Macaca mulatta: one gene and its partner. The protein of the gene in region 1 interacts with the protein of each later gene in a pairwise test. Links are inferred from orthologs where the notes say so. Each region holds a gene or a part of one and is shown in the gene's direction. Other genes may lie near its edges.

What was found. The genes of interacting proteins can lie anywhere in the genome.
Region 2: the proteins of NUP62CL (region 1) and AGR2 interact in binary tests that used the Homo sapiens proteins (3 or more experiments, as listed by UniProt). The two-hybrid records come from large-scale screens. The link is inferred for Macaca mulatta from reciprocal best matches to the Homo sapiens genes NUP62CL and AGR2.

The regions. Positions count from the first base shown.
Region 1 is NC_133426.1:113,956,538-113,960,193, reverse strand, and holds part of NUP62CL (nucleoporin-62 C-terminal-like protein), read left to right. Parts: intron 1-1,415; coding exon 1,416-1,551; intron 1,552-3,656.
Region 2 is NC_133408.1:111,469,754-111,473,409, forward strand, and holds part of AGR2 (anterior gradient protein 2 homolog precursor), read left to right. Parts: intron 1-307; 5' UTR 308-314; coding exon 315-453; intron 454-726; coding exon 727-790; intron 791-910; coding exon 911-963; intron 964-2,293; coding exon 2,294-2,367; intron 2,368-3,656. UniProt on the Homo sapiens protein: Required for MUC2 post-transcriptional synthesis and secretion. May play a role in the production of mucus by intestinal cells. Proto-oncogene that may play a role in cell migration, cell differentiation and cell growth. Promotes cell adhesion.

The DNA.
Region 1 (3,656 bases):
AGTCTCTCTGCCTATAGTTGGATTCCTTCTATACTTTTGGAAATATTTCCCAGTATCTGCCTAGAGTCAGATTTTTTCCATATTGCTAAATTTTTGGAAATGAAATTCTGACTCATATTAATCCTGTTTCGCTAGAGCTTTTTGTGCCAGACCCTCAGGTAGGCTGCTAGTAGTACATTGGATGGCTTCCCATCCTTCAGTTGGCCATCCTGCCCAGTCAACTGTGAACCAGGAACAAAAAGGACAGTTATCTGGAACAAAGAATGGGTATTTGAGCTTGTTCCCTCAGCAGGAATGTTCCCTCAGGCCAGCCTCCGCCAGAGTAGTCAGTGGTTGTAGCAGGCACCATGGTTTATGAATTTATCTGGTGTGGCCATTAATCTGAAACTATTGCTAATTTGGAAAGCAAAGCTAACATAAAACAAACAATCATGTACATTATATTTTCATAACAGATTCCTTGTTACAGAAGCAACATTTACTAGTTGTAAGAACATTTGAAAATACCGAGACCAAAAAGAAGAAAATAAAACCTTCCCAGTTCCCTAGCAGCCACAATTTTCTGTGCATTGTTCATTAAGTGCTCAGTGTGTAATAAGACCCAAAAGTGCTGCAGAAATTTAGAAAACCAAAGGAACTATGAGTAGGAGAGAAGTAGGTGATAAATATGGGGAACAAAGAATTTGAGTCAAGCCATGAAGGATACTTAGGATTTTATCTATAGAGAGCAGGACATTCTAATAGGGGTGTAACAGAAAAAGACACATAAGAGAGAGTCTGGGCTGTAGATAAAGCTTTGAGAGGCTTTTGACTAAGGTTTGCAAAAATGCATGCCTAGTATTGACTGTGGTATAAAGAAATAGGCATTCTTTCCTATTGATAGGGACATAAACTGGCAAAATCAAACGTTTAGATAGGGCAATTTGGCAAGTTATGTTAAAATTTAGAGCATGCTGACACTTTGATCTAGAAATTTTATTTCTAGGAATTAATTACACAGATACAGTCATGTAAGTATGCAAAGATATAGATGTACAGAGATCTTTTGTAAATTGCAATTATTCTTTTCTTGAAAGTTTCATAAAACTTACCAGCAGTGACATCTGGGACTGGAGTTTTCTTTATGAGAAGAATTTTGAAGACTGATTTGATTTCTTTCATGGTTATTGGGCTGGTTAGAAGTTTTATTTTTCTATGAATTTATCCAGGATTTTTAGTTTTCAGCTGGAAAGTTAATCCAGGTACCTGGCCTGCCATTTATTATTTCATATTACAACAGTGTTGAATTCAAATCTGCATCTTTGAGTTCAAATTTGTATTTTTAAAAATGCCTCCATAATTTAAAATCTGAACGATAAAGGCTTAAATGAAACAATTTCTCATTTCTTACTAACATTATACACTTTATTTTCCAGTTACAACTTCAACGACTACCACCACCACTTTCACCACCAACACTACTACCACAATCACCAGTGGCTTTACTGTGAACCAAAACCAACTGTCATCAAGAGGGTTTGAAAACCTTGTACCTTATACTTCAACTGTTAGGTAAGCCTATTTATTTAAAAACTTGCATGTGTTTCATTTTATTTATCATGTACAAGACATTTGCTTGGATAACTTTAGAATAATATTTGAAAGTTAGCTAAATGATTGAGTTGAGGGAACAGTTAAGAGAAAGATTTCTGTAGCTTAGGAAGTTGAATAACTAACAGCACACCTTTGCCTTCTGAATATCATTATAATAGAATCATTACTATTACGAATAATAGCTACCACTTATTGTGTAATTACTGTATGTTTGGCAAGATGACAATGCATTACAAGCATCATGTCATTTATCCTCACAGTAACCCTATGAGGTAGGCAGTATTTTCATTCCCATTTTGTAGGTGAGAAAACGAGAGCATACAGAGATTTTATAATCTGCTCATAGTTGCATACTTGTTAATGGTTGATCCAGGATTAAAATTCAGGCAGTCAAACTCTGGATATACAGGCTCTGGAGCCTGTATATGATGTTTCTCTCTAGTATTTGTTCATTTTTTAAGTTAAGCTTTTTATTTTGAGATAATTGTAGAGTCATATGTATATGTAAGAAATAATACACAACATTCTGTATGGTCTTTATATCATTTCCTCCAGTGATAACATCTTAACAGTAATATAGTATATCACAACCAAGATATTGATATTGCTATAGTCAAAATTCAGAACAGTTTTATCACTACAAGGATTCCTCCTGTTGCCCTTATATAGCCACACCCACTCCCCTCCTTTCCTTGACCCTGAGCAACAATTAATGTTCTCTATTTCTATAATCTTGACATTTCAAGAGTGTTGTGTAGATAGAGTCATATATATGTGACCTTTGGGAATTGGATTTTTTATTCAGCATAATTCCTTGTGATCCACCCAAGTTGTCATGAGCATCAATAGTTTGTTCTTTTTTATTTCTCAGTAGTATTCCATGGTATTTTGGATGCACCATGGTTTGTTTAACCATTCACCTGTTGATGGACATACAGGCTGTTTCCAGTTTTTTTGATATTATGAAAAAAGCTGGTGTGAACATTGGTGTACATGTTTATTATGAATATAAGTATTTCTCTGGGATAAATGCCTAGGAGTGCTGTTGTTGGGTGGTATGGTGGTTACATGTTTTTTGTTTGTTTGTTTTGTTTTTTAAGAAACTGTCAAATTCTTTTCCAGGGTACTGTGCCATTTTACATGCCTACTAGCAATGTATGGGTGATCCAGATTGTCTGCATTCTTGCCAGAATTTGGTGTTGTCACTATTTTTTATTTTAGCCCTTCTGACAGATGTGAAGTGATATCTCATTATGGTTTTAATTTGCATTTCCCTGATGACTAATGATGTTGAAAGTCTTCTCACATGTTTATTGCCATCAGTAGAGCCTCTTTGGTGAAATGTGTGTTCATATCTTTTGTCCATTTTCTATTTGGATTATTTGATTTTTTTACTGTTTGGTTTTGAGAGTTTGTTATGTACTCTATATGCCAGTCTTTTGTCAGATATGTGGCTTATAAGTATATTCTTTAACTGTGTAACTTGGCTTTTTATCCTCTTAACAGGGTCCTTTTGTTGTATCAAAACCTTTAATTAATGAGTTACAATTTATCACATTTTCTTTTAATGAATTGTGCTTTTAGTGTCAATTATAAGAAATCTTTTCTTAGCCCTAGATCCCAAAGATTTTCTTCTGTGTTTTTCTAAAAGTTTTATAGTTTCACATTTTACATTTAAGCTTGTGATCCATTTTGAGTCAATTTTTATATAAGGTGTGAGGTTTAGGTCAAGATTAATTTTTTTTTGTCTGTGGATGTCGAGTTTTTCTAACATCATTTATTGAAAGACTATCTTCCCCCCAAATTGCTTTTGCACCTTTGTCAAAAATCAATTTGTGTCAAATGCTTTTTCAGCCTCAGTTGATAGTCTTTTAAGATTCTGTTTCTTTATCTTGGTGAAGTGGTAGATTACACTGATTGATTTTCAGATGTTCAACCAGCCCTGCATATGTTAAATAAATCCCACTTGATCATGGTGTATAATTTTTTGATACATTTTTAAAAATTTGGTTTCCTGGTATTTTGTTTGAGGACTGTTGTGTCTAAGTTCATGAGAGTTATTA
Region 2 (3,656 bases), on another chromosome or scaffold:
TGACCGTGGATAGCTGAAACCTCAGAAAGTAAAACCCTGGGAAAGGAGAGACTACTCTGAATGTATTTTGACTTACAATATTTTCAGCTTACAGTGGGTTTATTGGAACATTACTCGATTGTAAGTCAAAGACCACCTGTATTCTTAGGAAAATCCCACAGAACAGAGCTGTTTACTCCAATCTCATATGTCCAGTCTCAGCAGAGCCTCAGTTTCTGGTATATTCCACCATTGTGGGGCAACCTGCAGACCCTGAAGACTGCTAGTTCATTTTTGTTTACTGATTTTGGTTGGTTTTCCATACTAGAGTTGCCATGGAGAAAATTTCAGTGTCAGCATTCTTGCTCCTTGTGGCCCTCTCCTACACTCTGGCCAGAGATACCACAGTCAAACCTGGAGCTAAAAAGGACACAAAGGACTCTCGACCCAAACTGCCCCAGACCCTCTCCAGAGGTAGGAGTCAGCTTCTTGTTGGCTTCCAACTGCTACTTAATTGGAAAAGATTTCCTCTCTCTTGGTGCTTAAACCTGGTGCTAACCTGGTGCCAGGTTATTTTGGGTTGTGTTCCTTCTAGATTTATCATTGTTTATAATTATTTCTACTTTCTCTAGGGGGTTTTCTTCTTCTTTAGTATCAGTTCTATTATCCAAGTCTTTACCACTGCTTTACAACAGCTTTGGGTGTGAATTAGAAAAGCTTCAAATATACTGATTCATTTCATTCTAGGTTGGGGTGACCAACTCATCTGGACTCAGACATATGAAGAAGCTTTATACAAATCCAAGACAAGGTAAAGATCAGGGTTACTCAGAGGTCCCTCAAAGCTCTCAAGAGCACCACCTACTGACATCTAGATATATGTGAAATCTTACTCAATAAAATTTGTCTCATCTCTCTTTGTCTTTTAAAGCAACAAACCCTTGATGATTATCCATCACTTGGATGAATGCCCACACAGTCAAGGTAATTTATTCTTCTAAATATGATTTCCTTTATAGGCTTTTAGCCTTAGGGCCAGGGTTCAGATCACTCATGTTTGTATCTTTAGAGCTACAGTTGCATTTAGAAAAATGAATATTTCCTATAGTAAAAACATATTTAAAAGTGACTTCAAATATCTCCACGTTTTGTGATAACCGTTGGTACATATTTTGAAAAACTAGCTTTAGGATTCATCTTCAACTTCTTGATTTCTCTTACAGTCCACATTCAATACACCAGCAAATACTGGCTTTATCTTCAAAATATATCCTTAAACCAGCCCCAGATCCACAGGCATGAAGCCTGTGCCATCTCACAGGGCCCCAAGCTTAGAAGGTTCCCACACTTGGTTTAAACTCTGCTGTCATTGTCTTAAAAGTCTTAGTAATTTTTCAACAAGGGGCTCTACACTTTCATTTTGCACTAAGCCCAAATCCAACCACTTCCTATTGCCTCCATGCTACTGCCCTGGTCCAAGCCAAGATCAGATCTTGTCTAGACTACTATAACAGTCACCTAACTGGCCACCCTACAGCCAAGTCCACACAGAAGCCAGAGTGAGGCTGGTAGACGTAAATCAGATCCTATCACTCACGTGCTCAAGTGGCTTCTTATCACAGAATTAAATCCAGATTCCTGACCACAAGCTATGAGGCTGACAGGATCAGGCCACTGGCTATCTCTCCCTTCCTACCACTCTCCTCTTGCTTTCTTCACCCTCTCCAGCCTGGCCTTCATGCTGCTCCTCCCACATCTGAGCTCATTCCCACCTCACAGCTATTGCTTTGCAGTTCCGCTGCCCAGTGGCCTAGCCCAGAATGGATCACTCCCTCACTTCAGTGTTAGCCCCTCAGGAAGATCTGCCTGGACCGCTCACAGTTTTTAAACCCTTTGCTTTAATTTTCTTCAAAGTACATATCTCTACCTGAAATTATCATCTACTTATTTCTTTGTTTATGGTTTGTCTCCCACACAAGTATTTGAGCTCTATGAAAAACGCACATGCTTTTTTTTTTTTCCCACTGTACTATCCCTAGTGTATAACACAGTGCTTAACACATGGCAGCCATTCAATAAATATGAGCTGGAGAAAACATAAATGGATGAATGAATGGATGAATGAGTGAATAAAAAGCAAAGGTAGTCAATGCCATAGATATTACTTCACTAATCATTTGCTAAAAGGCCAAAGTAGAATATTGTATTTAAAATGCAATTCAATAAATAAATAAAATGCAATTTAACTTAAAATAGAACAAAGCTTTTAACCAATGCTAAGATGGATGCTTAATGATTTTTCTTTATATTATAGCTTTAAAGAAAGTGTTTGCTGAAAATAAAGAAATCCAGAAATTGGCAGAGCAGTTTGTCCTCCTCAATCTGGTTGTAAGTTTCCTTTTCATCATTACTAACATTTCTCTATGGCTCATTACTTGAAATAGATGATTCATTTTTCCTATACATCTTAGTCATACCGCATTAACTGGGATTGCTTCCAAATATCCCATCTCATAGATTAGAGAGAAAAAAAAGATATTTCATTTTGTTAATAATCCATTTGGCATGTCTGTTTTTAGTTTGTCTGAAAAATTCTGTCCTGTAGTCAGAATTTTTCTGTTGCTAGAAAGTTTTTGTTACTTGCTGAGCCCATCCCTCTATAGTCCTGGCTTCTCTACACCCATTCTTGATCCTGGTCACCTCTCAGGAAGAGACAGCATTCTGGCTTTCCAACTCTAATCATGCCTCTTGTGCTTTAGCTTTATGCATTCCCACCTTACTTCACCATCACCACCCCTCATGGTGCTCAAGCTTTCTGTCTTGGCAAGTTCTTTTTACTGTATACAAACATTTCATGTTCCCTCTAAAAGAAAGCCAACAAAAAATGACTCTACCTAGTCATATGTCCTTTTGAGCCCCGCTGCCCTTCCTCTTCACAGGTTGGCTTCCTGAAAGAGCACTTCACACCAGTAGTTCTTCCTTGCCTCTCTTCCATGGGTTCCTCTTCCTACTCCTTAATGTGAGTGACATGATGAATCTCCACTTGACCCTTTTCTCTTTCCATATTTTGTATTCAGTGAACAACTTCATCTACAACTGCCTTTAATCAATTCTGACACATTAATAATTCCTACATCTTACCCAAACATGAAACAATATCCAACCTGTCTATCCAACCATATTCCAGATATCTTATAATCACCTTAAACTCAGAATGTTCCTCACTGCACATTAATCATCTTGGTTTGCGCTTTTCCAATAGCTCTTCTTTCTCTATTCCCTATTTTATTGAAAGTGGTACTGTGCTAGATTGGACTCTCCTACTCACCTACAGCATTCAGTAAGCCCTGTGCTTCTAAATTCCAAGTATTCCTGCTATTAGTCACTTCTCCATAAACTCAGGACCACTATTTTAGTAAGCCTCTTTCACTTTCCCTAGCTTACTGTAATACTGCTAAATGGCTCCCAGTCTACAAGATAAACCCTGTCTAATCCCACATGGCTGTCAGAGTAGTTGCTTTACAGACCAGACTGGGGTCACATTGTCTCTTGTAACATCCCTCCAGTGGTTCTTAACTATTTCTGAACAAAGGAAAACACCATGGCAGGTGTGCAAAGTCATTCCTAAGCTGGCCCCTGAAGCAGCTCTAGCACCTTTTCTCACCACTGCCCTCATG